4 linked regions of the Oryzias latipes genome follow. The protein of the gene in region 4 purifies or fractionates together with the protein of the main gene of each other region. This does not show direct contact. Links are inferred from orthologs where the notes say so. Each region holds a gene or a part of one and is shown on either strand. Other genes may lie near its edges. The genes, in order: usp15, E3 ubiquitin-protein ligase Itchy, acvr1b and smad7.

Evidence for each region.
Region 1: the proteins of smad7 (region 4) and usp15 purify together in Homo sapiens (affinity purification with western blotting; 3 studies listed by BioGRID). This does not show direct contact. The link is inferred for Oryzias latipes from reciprocal best matches to the Homo sapiens genes SMAD7 and USP15.
Region 2: the proteins of smad7 (region 4) and E3 ubiquitin-protein ligase Itchy purify together in Homo sapiens (affinity purification with western blotting; 4 studies listed by BioGRID and IntAct, with this or other methods). This does not show direct contact. The link is inferred for Oryzias latipes from reciprocal best matches to the Homo sapiens genes SMAD7 and ITCH.
Region 3: the proteins of smad7 (region 4) and acvr1b purify together in Homo sapiens (affinity purification with western blotting; 3 studies listed by BioGRID and IntAct, with this or other methods). This does not show direct contact. The link is inferred for Oryzias latipes from reciprocal best matches to the Homo sapiens genes SMAD7 and ACVR1B.

The regions. Positions count from the first base shown.
Region 1 is NC_019881.2:6,925,793-6,930,246, reverse strand, and holds part of usp15 (ubiquitin carboxyl-terminal hydrolase 15), read right to left. Parts: intron 4,347-4,454; exon of another isoform or gene 2,125-4,346; coding exon of another isoform or gene 1,943-2,124; intron 1,767-1,942; coding exon 1,619-1,766; intron 1,528-1,618; coding exon 1,354-1,527; intron 1-1,353. UniProt on the Homo sapiens protein: Hydrolase that removes conjugated ubiquitin from target proteins and regulates various pathways such as the TGF-beta receptor signaling, NF-kappa-B and RNF41/NRDP1-PRKN pathways.
Region 2 is NC_019865.2:2,013,517-2,017,256, forward strand, and holds part of E3 ubiquitin-protein ligase Itchy, read right to left. Parts: intron 3,673-3,740; coding exon 3,513-3,672; intron 3,420-3,512; coding exon 3,286-3,419; intron 2,189-3,285; coding exon 2,048-2,188; intron 1,923-2,047; coding exon 1,802-1,922; intron 1,720-1,801; coding exon 1,615-1,719; intron 1,540-1,614; coding exon 1,443-1,539; intron 1,353-1,442; coding exon 1,280-1,352; intron 1-1,279. UniProt on the Homo sapiens protein: Acts as an Acts as an E3 ubiquitin-protein ligase which accepts ubiquitin from an E2 ubiquitin-conjugating enzyme in the form of a thioester and then directly transfers the ubiquitin to targeted substrates.
Region 3 is NC_019865.2:12,257,642-12,262,662, reverse strand, and holds the start of acvr1b (activin receptor type-1B), read right to left. Parts: upstream 3,221-5,021; 5' UTR 3,012-3,220; coding exon 2,948-3,011; intron 1-2,947. UniProt on the Homo sapiens protein: Transmembrane serine/threonine kinase activin type-1 receptor forming an activin receptor complex with activin receptor type-2 (ACVR2A or ACVR2B).
Region 4 is NC_019870.2:9,759,468-9,764,567, forward strand, and holds the start of smad7 (mothers against decapentaplegic homolog 7), read right to left. Parts: upstream 3,227-5,100; 5' UTR 2,275-3,226; coding exon 1,809-2,274; intron 1,135-1,808; coding exon 1,081-1,134; intron 1-1,080. UniProt on the Homo sapiens protein: Antagonist of signaling by TGF-beta (transforming growth factor) type 1 receptor superfamily members; has been shown to inhibit TGF-beta (Transforming growth factor) and activin signaling by associating with their receptors thus preventing SMAD2 access.

The sequences.
Region 1 (4,454 bases), on a different chromosome or scaffold from region 4:
TTTTATTAAACGTTCTGTTGCTACTGTTAGTCCAACAGGTCTATCCTCCAATTCTGTCTGGGTTCTGTAAAAATGGTCACATGTTCCGCTTAGCGTAAACTAAAGCTACACGGAGATGATTAGCGGAGGTTACGGAGTGATTCATGCGGCGTGTGCGCTAGTGTTTATTTATTTTCCTCAGTCTCGCGGAAGTAGCTCCTCTTTGCCTCTCAAAAGTAAATCGTCTGGACCAACAAATTAACCGCCCAGCCCTAATCTAACATTAAACCCACTGAGTTCCAGCTTCAACCACATAAAATCAATTGTCAGTCGCGATACAGATGTCGCCAAGTTGGAGCCAGAAATTTTCAGTGAGCACTGATTGGTCCAAATTGGTTTAAGTCAAGACGTTTCTATGGCAACCACCGTCATCAATCAGAAGTGAGCTTGTTGAAAGGGGGTTTCACAGACTGTCAATCAAATGTTATTTAGGCATCTTTTTTTTTTTTTTTAGTTTTTGACTCGCAGTAAAGGGAAAAAAATATTAGGGACGTGTTTAAAAAAACAAACAAAAGTAGCAGAGCAAGGAGGATTCTTCTAAAAAATATAAAAGAGTGAAGCTACTATTACATCGCTCTCCGCAACATGCGCTCAAGTGACCACTTGCATTTGAAAGCCTATGTTCGTGCATTTTGGACTTCCGTGTTCAAAAGTCTGGCATTCACCGGTCACTATGCAGTTTTTCCACCACTATGTACGAAACACGCAGCCATTGAACACGCATTCAAAGGTTAAACCAGGACCAACTGTGACCAATCAGGGACTCAGATTTGCTATTGACGTATGGATGGCGTCCTCTTTAATGCACAGAAGTGTCAGCTGTTTAAAAATTGATCATAGAGGAGAAATGAATAACAGCGTTTTGTGTCCGGTGTGAAGTCTATGACGGCAAGTCTTTCATATCCAAGAACAAAGCTGTGATGGAAAAAGCCTGGAGCAAGATTCACGAGATTTATGCCGCTACGCCTTTTCACACAAAGCCTCGTTCAACTGTAGGTGGTGGACATGCGCCAGTAAACAGTCAAAAAATAAAAAGAAAAAAATGCCCCTCCCTGCCTTTCCGGTGTGAACACCATGGGGCTAAACACGGGTTCAAGAACGCACACTCTTGAACGCGCGTCACACGTGTTCGTAGCATTATAGCTGTTTATTTCTTTATAGAAGTCTACAGGATTTTGGCTTTTTGGAGTCAGCAGGTACTTCCTGTTTGGAGCATGAGAGTGGGAGTTCATTTTTCATATACAGTCAATGACTAAACCACAAGCTGAAAAAGGTCGTCTAACCCCTACAAGGAGAGAAGGTTCTGGTGATCACCTTAAAGGGTCTCGGGGTGACGTAGCTGTACTTGCCCGACCACAGCTGTTTGATGAGTTCGGCGTAGACTCGGGCGATCTCCCCCTTCATTCCCAGCGGGTTGTCCTCATTCAACTCGTCTGTGTACTTGTCTTTGAGGAAGTAGTCCGTCAGCGGAGGAGTGTTGCTTAAACACTGACGTTCAGAAGCAGAAAACACACAAAATTAGCGACCATCTCACTTCTAAACTACAAAGGAGACTTGAGGAAGGTTCTCCAGACCGCACCTGCACAGCAGAGTTCATAAAGCAGGTGTTCCCTAAGTTGGATAATCCACAGAGTCCTGAGCGCTCGCTGGGTCTGCTCTGGTCGGAGTAGTCGTAGCTGTTGGTGTAGGGGTGGTAGGACGGCAGACTGTAGCTGGAATTCTTCACACTGCACCACAAATGCAGAAAAAGCATCGCATTAGACTGAATTTTTAATGTAGCATCTACAAACACTGACTTCAGGACAAACATTTGATAGCCTTTAGGACTAAACCAACAGCAGACCCCTCCCCAGACAAAAAAACAAACTGAGTTTTCCGGAAAGAATCTGGGGGCTCTTTCCACCTGCAGCAAGTAGCGGACCTCTGAGGCAGAGCGCCGCCGCCCGCCTGCGCGTCCCAGCGCTCGAAGGACACGGCCGCGATGGTGGAGGCGGGCGCCTCGCAGCTCAGCACGTGGTGCTCCACCCTCCGGGAGTCCAGCTCCACCGCCTCAGGCCGCAGGCACCACCAGCAGCAGAGGAGCATGACATCCCAGCTCCGCCCCGGGCCCGGCCCACACCGGCCCGCATGTCAGCGGCCCGGGCTGAGCGGGAGGCGCATGTAAGGGCGCGGCTCCAGCGGGAATCTAACCGGGATGGATGTCATGGAGGCCTTTTGAAGTCCAAAAAATCTCTATATATATAAAAAAAAAAAACTTCTGGATGTCCTCCCCTCGGTAATTGTTGTGAGCTTGCCGTCTCCTCGCCAAATCCCCTCCCTCTGTCCTCTGCTCCTCCCTGCGGCCCGTCTGCTGCTTTCCACTCAAGCCTGCGGATATTTATAGCAGCGATGAGGATGCTCAAGACTGGAGGTGCGCACAGAGAAGGAGGGGGGGAGCAGCCTGCATCCAGCTGAGGCTGCAGTATTCACCCGTCTGACTCGGCGCTCTCCCTCAAAGTCATTTTCTTGCACAAGTGTCCTGACGCTTTCTCACCACGCCCTTACAGAACAAATGTAAAATAATAATTTTTAAAAAATCCTCGCTCTCCTGACGCCTTCAGCCCCTCACATATCAAAACCTGAAAATCACGGATTCCCTGAACGATTCGGTGGATGAAATGAGCCCTGAAGGTCACTCAGGACCGCAGAACGGGTGCAATAAGCTCGGGGTAAGGGGGGGGTAGGACATAAAGGGGAGAGTGGAGGAAGGAGAAAAAGAGCTGAGAATCATGGGAGCATCGCTGCTTCGGCTAAAATCGGTTATCCAATACGGGAACGCTTCCAATGAAGGAGGGAGCAAAGCAGGAGAGAAGGAGAAAACCAGCCCCCATGCATAATTAATAGCACTGCCATTAATGAATGAAGGAAGAGTTGCTCATTTTACCCATAACCCCCTCTTGTTACGCTTTTTTTTTTTTTTTTAAACAACTACACGACTCCAAAATAAACACATTTCAGGAGAACTGGGTTATTCCTTAGGAGAAAACTGACAGAACAGGAAGTTCACTCGTGGATTTCTACAGATTTTCTTTCTGCATTCTAGTTGTGTGCGCAGAAACGAGTCGATGTCACACACACAGGCGCACAAACGTGCACTAAAACCCAAGCACACACACAGGTTGGAAGGAAGAGTGAAGTGGAACGGCTTCTACGACAGCCAAGCAGCGCCGTCCGTCACACGGCCGACTGACAGGAAGCAAACGCTTCCAGGAAAAGACAGACGAGTGAGCCGGCGTCCCAGAGGACGCTGAGGTTGAGGTGGAGCTGCATGCCGGAGCCACGCCCATTTACAATCTACCTCCAAAAAACAATACAAATCATGAATTAATTAGAATTCATCTTTGGATTCCTGGGCTTCCATTGTTCGGACTACGGTCAGCCTGTCCGCATCTCGCAACGTGCAGACGTTCAAATGGAAACTAGCAAAGAGGAGCTTGTTCCTGAAGGAGGAAACTTTTCTAGTTTGGCTTTGCCCCCCTAGACTTGGAGCAACAAATCCCACGCTCCAAAATCTGTTTAGCTCCGTACACATCTGGCATTTAACGTGCATTCTTGAACGCTCGTTTAGCCCAAAGTGTTTACACTGGACAAGCAGGGAGGGGCTTCTTCCTCTTTTTTTTAACTCTTTACTAGCACATGTCCGCCACCTACAGTTGGAAGAGGATGGTGCAAAATATCAAAGCGGTGCAAATCATTGCATGTTGGGTGCGACACGGAAAACTGTTCGGTTCATCTACGGCGCCCTGGCAATGGTGGATTAGGTTATGAATAAATCAGGAGAGTTTATTTGAAAAACAGACGCAGACGTCGTCAGGCTCGTCTCCGTGTCTGAGCTGACCAGATGAAACTGCGGAATTCGGCCAGTTTCTATCAAATTTGAGTCGCTGATTGGTCAAAGTTTGACCTGGATTAGCTGGTAACGTGCGTCCAATAGCTGCGTATTGTATGTACAGCCCCAAAAGGGTCGTAACGCAGAAGCTTGAAACGCACATGTAAGCGAGTTTCCGAGCGCGGTGTGACGACAAAATCCCAGCAGCTCTCTGTGAGAAGCTCACGCCAGCAGCAGCTCACAAAACCTGCGTTGTGTTGATTTACATGCATTTTTTTACTATTTGTAAATATTTCGTTGCACTTTGAATTCAGGAAACTCGCAAAAAAGATTTTTATAAAAGGTTTTTGTTAAATATATTTCACATTTACTGGACATTTTTGTCTGATTCACAATTTGAATAAGGAAATACTCAAAAATGAAATCTTGAGCTTAATTTTGTCCTCTATCATCAGAAAAATGTCCCAAGAACATGTTAAAAGAAAACATCAAAAGTACCATTTCATCAGACTGGGACTTTAGGTCAATAATCAAAAAATAGATAAAA
Region 2 (3,740 bases), on a different chromosome or scaffold from region 4:
GGTTTTATTTGGCTGTAGGGGGAAAATGTCAACTTCTGACAAACCAGGTTGTGATCTGAGGTCATGCGGAGTTCATCGACTCCTCCATTTCAAGGTCTTAATTAAATTCCTTTTTGTACCAGCCAAGTCTTGTCTCAATATTGCTAGTGTGATTTATTGTTTTTGCAGTTTGCAGTCAAACTCTGAAGGATTGCAAGAGCTCCAAATGCAATTCATGCATCAAATTCACACCTGCAGGCTCTCCTTTGACAAATGTTTTCAGCCTCATCGCTGAAAAGAGTTGACTGTACATCTGCACATTTTCTCTACAATGCATTACTGCAAAAAAAATAAAAAGCGTTTCCTCTAAAAGACCGAATATAAAAGCTGATCATTAAAACCTGGAATCTCTTTCTTTCCCTTCACAGCAGTGGCAGACCGTGCATTGCACACCCGGGCCTTCAGTAGTGCTGCGTCTGAATCCCTCAACCGCTCATGAACCCTTTTACGATGCAGAAACGAGGTTTGCATTACATATTGAAAACTCCTGTAGCCACAAGAAATGCCTCTAAATAAACGGAATAAACTAAACTGTAAACAAATGTCGTTATGCCACTACAGCCAGCAAAAAGCATTGAAAAGAACCACAAAAATATGGAATATTACACAGGGATGGTCGGCGCCAAACACACAAATCTGTTCAGCTGCTTCATGATTCACTCAGATTTTTCTGATGAAGGGAGTCTAGGAGATCAGTGTGAGATTTTCCTGTTAAATCCTCCATGGATACATTACAGTCAGCTCTGTTTTAACAGAGACGGATCAAAAAGTTCTCCGTGGCTCTGTGTCAAACTGGACATGGCTGTGTGTGACTTCATCAAACTTCTGTCCAATCAGAAGGTCTGAATACTGTGACACTGCCTAAGCCAGCTAGAAGGCCCTGCAGACGCCAACTCAGAATCTGACTGGTTGAAGGAAATGGATGACCAACATTGATTTTGCATTGAAAGGCCTGCAGAACTCACATTGAAGGCCTCTTTAGCTCTGACTCTGCCTGGCAACAAAGAACAGCTGAAATGCGATTGGTTAAATGCTCCAACCTCTGTCTGCAAGCAGCGTAACCATCATAAACAGAATAAAATAGAATGGACAGACCATTTGGAATGATTTAATGAGTATGCATGGACAAAATATAATTAACATGTGATTCAGACATTTTTTAGAGAAGGTCTTGAAGGCCCTGACGGCCCACCACTGCTTTACAGTATTGTCTGTTTGGCTGCTGTGAGCAGGAACTCACCATGTGTGACTCCGGGGCAACCAGTTTTCTTTTCCCACCTTCTCAATGCAAAACTTCTGAGGCCCGTTGCTTCCTGTTAGAAGAAGCAGTGACTCAGCTCAGACTATTCAATTTCACCATGTTTTGGCAGCAAACCCCAAAAATGTGTTGCTGTTTTTTTTACCCATAAGGTCGGCGAAGCCTCCGACGGGCAGACGACAGGTGCCGGTGACAAACTGCAGCAGTCTCATCCTCTTCTCGTTGTCCATCTCCTTCACAAGCTGCAGGGGGAAAACCTTGTAAATCCACACAGAGGAAGAGCAAACCTCATCCTCCCGAAAGGGTTTGACACCGACCTGCCAGAACCAGAGGATCTGTTTGCTGTTCCGAGCGTAGTGCCTGTAGATGGTGTTTCTCTGCCAGTCTGCAAGGTCGATGTCCTGCATGCCACACAGCATCACCTGTGGAGGGAAAGCAGCAAATTAAAAGTGACTCACCAAACTGCTTTCTGACGTACTGATCGTTCCTGAGCAGCAATCACACCTCAAGTTCTTTGGCATCAAAGTACTGTAGATACTGCTGAGGGAGGACCTCGTTGAAGCCCTCAAAAAAAGCTTGTGTTTGCTCCTCCACACCTCTGGACAGTCGCCACTCTGCTACCAGCCTGGAGGAGGATTTCCAAACAAGCAAACACTGAAATGTCTGCTTTTATTTATTATTCAAACAGCAGAAACTCAGAAAAAAATGACTAAAAATAAATGTTCAAGTCCTAAAGGGGGAAAAACTCACCGGATGTACTCCTCTTTGTTCTCCTCTGTGACTTGGATGTCTCCTCCTCCTGGCTTGAGCTCATGGGTGGTGATTTCTCCAAGAATCTCTTTGTCCACAGAGAAGAACATCTCTAAGCAGCACTCCTCGATGTTGTTGTCCCTAAACACCAAAGAGAAATTTACAGCTCTAGAACCAAGAAAACCCCTTTGACCTCCAGGGTTAGGAAGACCAGGGATGGCCACCTCTGACCTAGAACCTTAAAGTGTTGCAGTTCCTCAAACGACCACTGGCGGCTGATTTCCCTTTGATTCCCAGGTGAAAAAGCCAGATCCTGTAAATCAGTGGTCCCCAACCTTTTTCAGGTTTTATTTATTTTACAATATTTCAATGGACCGGCCTGTATGAGGCTGAAGTGGGCGTCTGATTTTTGTTTTCAGTCTCCAGTTTCCCTTCACTTCCAGGGGTAAAGTTTATCTTCATTCTCTGTAAAATATCTGCAGCTTCTCAAAGGAAACATTAAAATGTCACATAGATTTTCCTTTAACTGTCACTTAAACTGGTATTTACTAAATGTAAACATAAACCGCTTTATAAGAAGCATCCTGTATTTCTTTGGTTTCTAATCCTGTCAACTGCGGGGATGAATGTTTTTTTCTGTGTGTCTGTTTTGTTAATATTGGAGCTAAAAACTTGTCCGTAATCACGATGTTTGATGTTTTCTTAATTGGCAAGAGAGTGAATAAATGGAAAAAACTCGCACTTAGCTTTGTCCCATCAAATCTCTTTTCTCTGAGTATTTGTATGTCTAAGTAAGGCAGGGAATTATATCTTTGGCAAGATTTTGTTTTTTGAAAATAAATACTTTTTCATATTTTAATCCTTAATTGCTCACGAAAAAAGAAAGATTGAATGTAATTTTAGCCCATGCTAGAAAGACCCATGTTGATGGCCTTATATTTGCTTAAAGCGGTGACAACTACGTAGCTTGAACGAGTGATGACTGCCGCCTCCTCCTCCAGGTTTCCATCATTTTAGTTAGTACCATTACGGGGTCTCTGAATGATCTCAAAGTTTCATAAGCAGATTGTAAAAGATCCTAAAGAACCAGCTCATCTGAACAAAAGCATCTGGTTTTAACCTGGTAAATGTTGGCATCACTAAGCAGCTAAAAAAAGATTTAAAAAATGACAGGATCTCTAATACAGAAATGATTTTGTTACTGAAGACTTTATAAAAAAGTGGCAGTTTTTACGTACTTAATCCACATGAGAGAGTTGTAGAACTCCGGATCAATCGACTCCAGATCTTTGACCGCCAAAGGCTTGTTGAGAATGCGCTTGTAAAAAGGCAGCGAGAAACCCGTATTGATGAACTTCCCGTGAAAGAGAGCCTGAGGGATTCAAACGACATTCGATTAGAACAAGAAAGCCTCTGCGGCCACAGCAGTAACACATTTCTTCTCATGGCGGTCGTGACTGCGAACCATGGCAATGAAGCGCCCGATGAACCTGAAGTACTTGAGGTGGTCGGGGTTGATGGAGGAAGCAGGGTTGATCTGAAGACAGTAGTTATCTTTGCCGGCGTATTCAAACAGGCAGTACATGGGGTTCAAAACCTCGTGTGACAGCAGGAAGAACCACTCCCTGCAAGAAAGAAACCACCAGTTATAGAACGACGTCCCTACTACTACTACTACTACTACTCTGACCTT
Region 3 (5,021 bases), on a different chromosome or scaffold from region 4:
TTTTTTTGTTTTTTCAAAGCTAAGAGTATTTTTTTATTGCTTCTTCAACAATGGCTCAACTATGAAAACAAAATGCATGATCTGACAAACACTCTCCATCTACACTTGACAGTTGAGGTTTTTTAAAGCAAGTCTATCTGAGGCAAGTTGAAGCAAGTCAACAAATTGAGATGACAATATTAGCAGACCGGGGTTTCTATAGCCTCCACCACACTCCCCGTTTCCAACCCACAGGAGCCCCAACATGCAAATCACACCAACAAATCACTCAAAGTCAAAACATTTTAAACAAAAACAACATTACATTATAGAAATCTTAACAAAATTTAAAAATAATAATAACGGTACAATTTGGAACACAAAAATAATTTAAAAAATAAAATGAAATGCTAAAAAAACAAAATACAGGAAGAAACCAGAAAAGGTAGTTACTATGGGACATCACTAGCTAGATGATGACATTTGTCAATTATATCAATCAAAAAATATTTGGCATGAAGCGACACTGACTATGCTCCATACTAATCATCAAACTTGTATAGGTATGTGGACATTAAAGACGCATTACAAAATAAACTCTAACGTCATCGTCCATTCAATGATGTCCCACAGTACCTACCTTTTCCAACTTTGTTGTTTCGCTTTTTAACATTTCATTTTGATATTTACAAATCACTTTTGTTTTCCCAAACCTGTCTTTTTTAATTGTGTTTTAGTTTCGCCTTTTTAATTGACGTGATCTTTAAAGGCCCACCAGGATCTACTTTTGGTCTATATTAAAAGCATTCCCAGTGGTCTTAATAATGATCGTGCTGTTTTTAGGTTAAATCCATAAACCTGTGTCATTTTCAAGGATTGTTAAGGTGGAGTAAGCCCGGCCATCATCCCTTTGTTTACATGCTCTCCTGCTAGCTTACAGCTTCTCACAACTCCAACTAAACATTACAGTTGCAACAAAAACAGTAAGCAATACTGGAGCTATCCAACAGTACAGTTTTGATGCCAGCTCCGCCAAGGAAAGTGAAGACGTACATGAATCTCTTTGTCTGCAATTGGATACATAGGCATGGAGCAGAGCAGGGATCTGTTGTCCCGAAGACATAGCACCTACGTCACTGTTAAGGCCTGTTCACACCGGGACGAATTTCGCCGGCTATTTTCGCCGACTTTTAACGCCTCGTGACTAAACAAAGGGCACCAATGTGAGTGTGCACACCGATGCGAAAAAACGCAACGCGTCAAAAAAAAAAAAACAACGCCTCGGGTTCGTTTTTTTTTGATGCCTCGCGTCGAAATCTATTCCACCAATGAGAATGTCGCTTTTGCACACGTGTCTGGAGCTTCTGAAGTTACAGTAAAACACATCTTGGGGGCGCTTAAACACAAAAACTGCCTTGCTGAGCACACATACCAGCGAAGAAGATAGACGCCAAGTAGCGTCTATATGCCGTGAAGAAATAATGACGGATATTCTAAAATATCCCCGAACCAAGCACCAGTTGGAGCTACTGGTGCTTGAAATATTCATGTTTTTTTTGTATTATTCTGACAAGCGCGTAAATACTTGCTCTCTTCTTCTGAGTGAAAAGCGACTTTAAGAAGCGTAAAGTTGCGCAGCGCCACCTTGTGTACAGGAGTATTTCTGTTTACATTAAGCGCCATCTAATGTCAGGGAATGAAATTGCATGTTCGCTCGGCTCATCGTCAGCGAAAATCGCCTGGGTGTGAACACAAAAAACGCGGCGAATAACGCCTGGCGAATATTCGTCCCGGTGTGTACGGGTCTTTACAGGGTTTTTCTAACTACATTTTTTCGTCTGCTCCGGATTCACTTTGATCTGAATAAAGAAGTGCTCAGAAATGCAATCATATGCTTAATTTTCTTTATCTATCTATGTGATCCATCATGAGAAAACTGCTGCAAGGGCCACCGTACAAACTGTCCGTAAATCAAAACGAGGTGAAATCACATAAACATGCATGTGGTCATGCAAGGGTGCATGTGGTCATACAAGAGGTTAGGCATCAGCTGTTCCTGCAGGTCAGGGGAATCGCAGACACACAACTGGCGCCTGAAAAGACCACACCGAACAATTTCCATGACAATGAACCCAGACTTCAACTTTGACTTGTGTCTGGGTCGGCTGAAAGAGCGGCTGCTGTCAACCCCCCTCCCCATGCCAGCATTCGCGCTCTGCCGAGAGGCCACTACGCAAGCTTTTCACTGCATGCATGTGGGGTGGGGGGCGACGACAAATGGCTGTGTTTACCCATGAAAAACAGCTTACGAGCGCCAAATACATGCCGACCTCCATTCACAGCCTCCTCTCTGTGCGCCTTTAACCACCAGAGCTCACAAACACGTGAATAAAAACATGATAAATATTTATAGCGAGCTATCACAGCACTGAGTTCCAGTCAATACAATGATAAGCAGGCACGAGCCACCAAGAAGCTTGTTTTGTAAATAAAAACCGAATATCAGCTTATGAGAGATAACATTTAACTTCAACGCTATGCTGAGAATTAAACAAAATTTAAATGTTATTTAAAAAAATATAAACACACAATTTATATGGTTATTTATCTGATAAACGTCGGCACTTTTATAAACATTGTTCAGTTCAGACACAGTTGGCTAGCAAACGTTAGCAGCCGCCTCGAAACACACAGCAGCTCCACCATTGTTGTTGTGGTTAGCTCCGTCTTTACCGGCGATTCATCCCTCTTTTTTTTTTGGTCACCACAAATTCCAACACACAAAAACACGCATTTTTATTTTGGTCAGACCAAACACTTGCCGTGGTTTTGAGGTCGGCGCTAGCCATAGGGCTAGCCAACAAGCCGATCCAGAGCGCCATGACGATTAGCGACAACAGGCGATGCCCACTCCAGGAAAACACACCGAGACAGACAAAAGCCAGGGAGATGCTGGGATCAAACTTACCGTCGCCGACGGCCGCCGACCCGAGCAGGGCGAGCAGCGTTACAGCCAATCGTATTAGAGCCATGTTTTCAGAATTCCCATCGCAACGCGGTGAAATGCGCCCGAAATATGTCGTTATCAAGGCGGCGAGACCTGAAACACAACCACAGTCCGACCGCACACACCACACCGCCAGATACTAGCCAGCCAGCCGGTGACGCGCTAGAGGGAGGGGTGAGGAAGTTTAAAGGGTGAGGGCTGCGTGCAGCACGTCCCCCACTGACAGCGAGGACACGGCTGTGAGGAGGAGAACACCAAAGGTTCAGGATGAATAACAGCTCTCCTTTCAGCCTTGATCACAAAAAGTAGACAATTCCTCAACACTTCCGTTTACATTAAACACAGCGAAGCTCCGCCCAACACAGCACATCTATACTCTTTATGTGTAACAAATCATTTAACAATGAACACATTACAAAAGTACTTTTTGTGGTGACAGAGGCATTACTGATATTTATTCCAAACATATTTTATTCATTACATTACTAGTGTCTTGTGTATTGCACAGACTCACTGCCTAAAATGTAAATGTTCAAAGGAGCAAGTCTATAGAGGACATGAAAACTGTCTGTCTTTTTGTTGTGAGGTGGGTGTTGTCATTTTAACCTCTGTAGGAGAATCGATTTATAGTCCTACGATCCACTCAGACCAATCTGTCTGAGGCAATTTGTTATTCAAATCGATCTATACCATTACAAAATGTTTTTTCAAATGAAATGACTCAATTACATGGATAATGGAAAATACCTTTTGGATTGAGGCATGGTAGGTTTTCTTTACTGTAACTTGAAAATGACCAAGTTTCATCACAGCGGACAACACAACACAGTTGACGGCAAAAAAAGGATCAAGCCGTCATTACAGTCCAATGTTGGAAACACTTTAAATTCTGCAATGACGTGACCATACAGTGTGGTAGAATGTTCTAATAATGTATTATTTTGATGTGGAAAAACAACAGAGGGATGAACTTTGTAAAACTAAAATGTGAATGGATTTACCATTCATTCTTGTTTAATTGTTTGTTTATACACATATTTAGTTTACACTTGATTATCTTTCAAGAAATATAAGGAATCTGGAAAACTTCACCTGCACTGTTCAGTATCCATGTATTTATCTCTCAGTCACACTGGTTGAAATTTTGGCTAAAGATATCCTGGATAGATCTTAGGTCAGTGTATCGGATCGTTCAAAATAAACCAATATTGTCTATGAATTGTATCAGCAACTGCAAATTATGATATGAATTATTGATGTTCCAGTCCCTACAGGATTTCTTGGCATTTTTTATAACATGCTCATGATTTGCAATCCATTTTAACTTTTAACGAGACAAAGAATGGTTGTAGACGTACTTGTGCACAGGGGCCCAAAAAAGCTCTTTCTTGCACTTTTTGGAGCTTAAAAAAACCAAAACATGTTTGATGTAAAAACTAATGTTTGTTGTTTGACCTTGTTTCCTGAGAAGATGCATTTTTTAGTGCAACATAAAATATGGAGTCTCAAAAAGTCCATTAGTTTTTTTATTTTAATTGCAACTTGACCCAATAGTGCCTTAAATGTACGGTTAAAATGCAGACGACCGTACAGATGATTCAACAAATGAGTAAACCTTTGTGGTGGTGTATTTTGCAAATGCGTGAGGAAGTTTGACGTCACAAATGACGCCTTCTTCTTCAGAAACTTCATGAATGTTAAACCATAAATTTTAAGAAATGACAAGAAGTTCTCAATTACTTAAAAAAGAATAAAAAATACATTTCTAATGCCCTTTTTTCCTTTTCTGAAAAATAAAATTACTGTTTCTTCTCTGACATCATTGCAAACCATTAGAAATCATAAAAAAGATTAAAATATACAATGTAAAATTATAAATAAAAACCCTTGCAAATATAGATATGTTAAGTATTTTTTCCACGTCTTGTCTGTGAATGATCAGTTTAGTCTTTATATGAAATTTTAAAAAGCCCACATTGAGTTTAGCAATCAAGACTAATTGTGGTACACATTATTATAATAACTGCCCTCCCCA
Region 4 (5,100 bases):
GCCACATGGACACACTCGAGACTGCTAGGACAAGGGAAACAGGGTGGAACCAAGAGTTGTGTAATCACTTCCTTTTCTGCATCCCGCTCGCATTTCCTATTTACCTTCTTGTTTCCTTTTATCGCTGGAAACTTTCCAAGCAAATTCTTGCAGAGGCTCTCTCGTGACAAGTCCCAGGGAACCGGCAGAGACCTTTTTGGGGGTAGCAGCGTCTCTTTGGGCTTGGGGAGCTGCTTGTCAGCATAGAATATTACCAGAGCATGGTAAAAGACGACAAAGAGAGAGCGAAGAGGAAGGAGGGGGGCTATGAAGAACCGCAGCTGCAGCTGCAATTACTTCCTATTGTTTCCACTCACTGAAAGCCACTTTCTCCTTCTTCTGACTAACTGGCTGGCTGACAGTTGGCTGTTTAACTCCGGGCTGTTTCTGCGCCCATGGAGGCTGAGATGATCAGAAATAAGAGATAATTAAAGACGAGGGTTTGGTCTTCAAAGCGGATGTAACCCATGACGATGCTGTGGCCTGCTGCCACACGGGGGCCCGGGTCAAGTCAGAAAACAAGTGTTGGGTGGTGGTGGTGGTGGAGGGGGGGGGCAATCACTTTGAGTGGAGAAAAGACCCCCCTCCCTCCCAAACACACACCGCAAACCCCACTCTTAATCTACTGATCATTCCATCTGATAAAGGCTGACTGGCTCCAGACTCTGTTGTCTGTCTCTCTCAGCACTGTGGTTCACAATAGATAGATGGACAGACCACCCCCCCAACCCCACCCCCAACTCAGACATGCACACAAGCCCTGGTGACATGCCAGTCAGTCCATAGCTGGTATCTCAACTTCGTATTGCCTTGCCCTGGCTGCTAGCCACATTAGAATTGGCCAGCCAGCCAGGCGTGTCACTCTGCCCCCCCCCCACACACACACAACTCCCCATAAATCACAACACCATTTCCTGCAGAGGACACCAACGTGAAGTGCAGCTCATGACATCACTTCAAACATGCATATTATTGCACAAACAAACAAACAAAAAGCAATGACTTAGGAAATATCCATGTGAAATGATGCATCAAGCTCACCTGGTGGTTTCAAATAGTCCATGGGATATCGCGAATAAGGAGGAGGAGGAGACTCTGTGTGGAGGAGGAGGGGGGGAAAGAAAAAAAACTGCATGAGAAAAGAAGAGGAAGAAAAAAAACACAAAGGAGAGATCTGAACTTTCTGATAAGAGTTGTCATTCTTCAGGGGAGGGCTGATTTGTGCCTGTCAGCTCCGCCTGGAGAAGCAGGCAGTGAGGCTGGCCGGGCGGCTATTGCCTTTCATTGGCAGGCAGATAAACAGGGGGCCGCCTGGCGCCAGAAGGGCCACTATCAGCGTCTAGGACAAACTGAGATACGGGCCTCTTTTGGCCCGGGACGCCAAGCAAGCACACACACACATAAACACACACATTTCAAGACTGGAGAGTCTTTCTGTACTTTGGATGCCAATTATGAAATGTTGAAATTCTTAACAGGGGTGTTTGGAAATCTGAAACCGCGACAATGCGTATAGCTGAGGAGGATTTGAGTTTTGGAAAAAAAAAATCAAATGGAACAATTAATTAAAGTAGGTTTCTATTCAAACTCGACCACCAAACCTGCTAAAAGGATCTGGCACAGCTTCAGATCAATGGAACCTGAAGACCACTGTGCCAGAGAGGTGTTGTCATTAGAATTAGGTTAATTGGCACAGTCTTTTTCAGCCTTCTCTCCACCTAGGACCTCATTTTTTTGGAGTTTTTTTTAGTGAAAATATTGAAGCTCACCGAGTTCACAGAGCCTGCTCATGTGGTGAGGGTTGCAGCAAACGAGCTCGGGGTTGGCTTTCCCGTAAGATTCACAGCACGACAGCCTCTTCAGCTCCGAGGAATGCCTGAGGTCCGGCCACCTGAACACTTTGTAGAGCAGCATGGGGAGGGAGTAAGACTGTTGACCCACTTTGGCGTCCACTTTGCTGGGCAGGAGAAGGCAGGGGCTCCGGACGCCCCCCTTGGACTCCACCGCCTGCAAAAGCACCTCTAATTGTTTTTCTTTGATCTTTTTCAGTACCGAGTGGGTCAACGCCTTCAATTCGGCCTCCGACCCCGCGTTGGACTTGGCCACTTTTGTCGCTTTGCCCATGCAGCAGCCCCCGGAGCCATGCGTCCCTCTATCCGTCTCCCCGTCGCCCTCCACGGGCGCACGGCTCCTCCAGAGTCGCCGGACGAGCCCCGATCGTTTGGTCCTAAACATGCGGGACGAAAAGAGGGTTTCCCGGCTAAAAAACGAGCATGGTGTCCGCAAATCATGAAGATTCCGGGATCCGAGTCCAGGCAATGACAAGCAGCCTGAGAGAAAACGGTGGAAAAACTGGGAGCTGGAGAAGCAGAGGAAATCTATAGCATGCGCCAGTCTCTGAAGCTGTTTTTCCTGCAGAAAGGTCACCAGAAAGCGCTCGAGGTTGGCGGGACAGCCAACGTTTCCACGATCAGAATACAAAAAAAAAAAAAGATCACATCTATGAGCTTAGAAACACCAAACCGGAGCAGGAAACCTGCAGCAGCGGAGCTGCGTGAAGCCCGAATGCGTTACAGTTTTGTGCAATCCGGCGCTGTGAACTGACCCCTTTAAAAAAACGCCGTGACGGTTTACAGCGGGGGGAAAAACGCTGTCAGAAATGTTTATTCAAGTCACAACTAACTGGTACTTATAAGAAAAACCTAAGGCCTAATTAAGCCTCAACGCTGGCGCAATCATCCCATGAAAAAGCGAAGCTCTCCGCCGCGTCTTGAGTAGCATAATCCACAAAATCCTTCATCCGAGCGCACGAACTGGGGCTCCCCACCTTTAAATGTATATTTTAGTATGTAGTGGATGAGGTCTTCTGGTAAAATAGTGAGCCAAGGAGAAAAAAATCCAGGTCTCCCACCGGAGTTGAGTCGCGTTTGTAAAGCCACAGCAAGACCCTCCGTTTTTCTTTTTCTTTTTTGCGTCCACGCAGCGAGCCTGCTTTTAGCAATCCCTCCAGATAAAATAATCCAAAATCGTATCTCTCACGGAGTTTCCGTGGCTGAGCGTGGAGGAAAGCGAGCAGACAGCTGATCTGGTCCGGGCTAAAGGGCTCTCTGTCTGTAAATGAGGCGGATGGTTTGGGTGCCCTTGCTCCGTCTCCAGTCTCCAGTGCGCATTGACGCGCCCGGTCACGTGTGTGTCTAGACACCCTGTCGCTTAAAAGAAATGTGATTGTGTTGCGCAAACAACAGATCAAGTAGAGCCCACGGTGCACACACACACACAAGCGCGCGCGCGCACTTAGAAAACACAAATGAGAAAGTTTACGCCACAAAAGTTTAATATTTGCAGAAAAAAGAACAACATTAAAAAAATTTCTCAGTTAAATTATTTAGTAAATCTGCAGATTTTTTGGTTTGCTTTCAGTCCTAAAATAATGTTTATATATATATATATATATATATATATATATATATATATATATATATATATATATATATATATATATATATATATATATATATATATATATTCAATCATTAATTTCACGCTTGTACTGAATAAGCAGTAAATACGTGTTTCATCGTTAAAGCTATGAATCAGTTTAATATATCTTCATAGCTTTTCGCCACTGTTGCCATGGTGATCACACAGGGCAGTTTTATTGTTTTGGAGAGTTTATGGCTGGAGTTGAATTTAGGAAGTGAGCCACAGTGCTGACTCCTTCGGGGGAGCTCGTTGCTGCCCCCCATCGGACATGTTCGGTACTACACACACAAAGAGTTCCCACCCATCTTTATTTATCCAGCAGATCAATCCATCAGCTGAGGATCAAATTTGTCTTTTCTTGTCTTTTTAACATGTGCCAGCCTTCCTTCTGTGTCATTGCCCTCATGGAATCCATATTAATTATAACAGACTTATATATGTCTGGAATTTAGCTCAATGTTGGTGCCAAAAATGTACAAATACAGCTTGATGGGGAACACTCACTGTGATGTCTCACTTCAAACCCAATAAATTTAACACGTTTTAGGAGAAATTGTTCTTTTAAACAGAAATGAACCGTTTCTGGTCTGCAGACTTCCCTCGACAGACAGTAGTCCCGGGGAGGAGATGCAGTCAGCAGTATGTTAATATGACAGAGTTGCTGCAGGGCATGGGGGTGGGCGGCAGATAATGATGGTGGCAGAGATGTGTGGGGTTGAGGAGGGGTGTGTGTGCATGCGTGGAGGAGATGGAGAAAGATGGGGGAGGAGGTGGGGTGTGTGTGTGTATGTGTGTGTGTGGGGGGGGGGGGGGGTATCAGTCGTTTATCCCCCCCGTATTGTTCCCCCGGATCCCCAACTGGCGCCGAGGAGGAGCGCGCCACTGCAGCCCCAAACCGAGCAGAGGGACTGCGGCGCGTTCCTGGAGGAGTCTGGAAGCAATCAGTCAGGGGTGGGGTGGGGGAAAGGGGGTCTGTCAGGGGGGCTCTGTGGAGGTGCCTGCTGCTGCTCTCGTGCGCTGTCCCCTCCCCTATCCACCAATCTGCATGCCCTTCCCTTTGTTTGCATGAGACCAGTCTCCAGACTCCAGGAAGTAGACACTTTTATCTAACCGTTTGCCATCTCGGGCTGCCTGAAGAGTCTGTCTGCAGGCTGTGGAGCGGGGCTGTTTTCAATAAAAACTGTGCTCTGAGCTGAGACCCGTGTTTTTATTTACCCTTCAAGACAAAGTCTGCAGACGCAGAACATTTAGCTGCTCATTTAAAGACCCATTCCATTGTATTTTTTATCATGTTCTTGTGGCATTTTTTTCTCATAATGGAGGGCATTTATAAATGAAATTAAGATTAAAGATGGTTTTCTGAGTTTTTCTTTATTCAAATCGTTGTGAATCAGGAGCAGATGGGAGGGCCACAAGCTCCCTGCTCGCTCCATTCTGATGCTTGTAGACAAATAGATCCATGTAAGTCTTTGTTTTCCTTACCTCAGCTGGCATCTGGCTCAAAACTGGATGGCTCCATTATTGCTTTCTAATATTCATTCACCATATTGTTAAATACTATAGGCCAGAGGTCTGCAA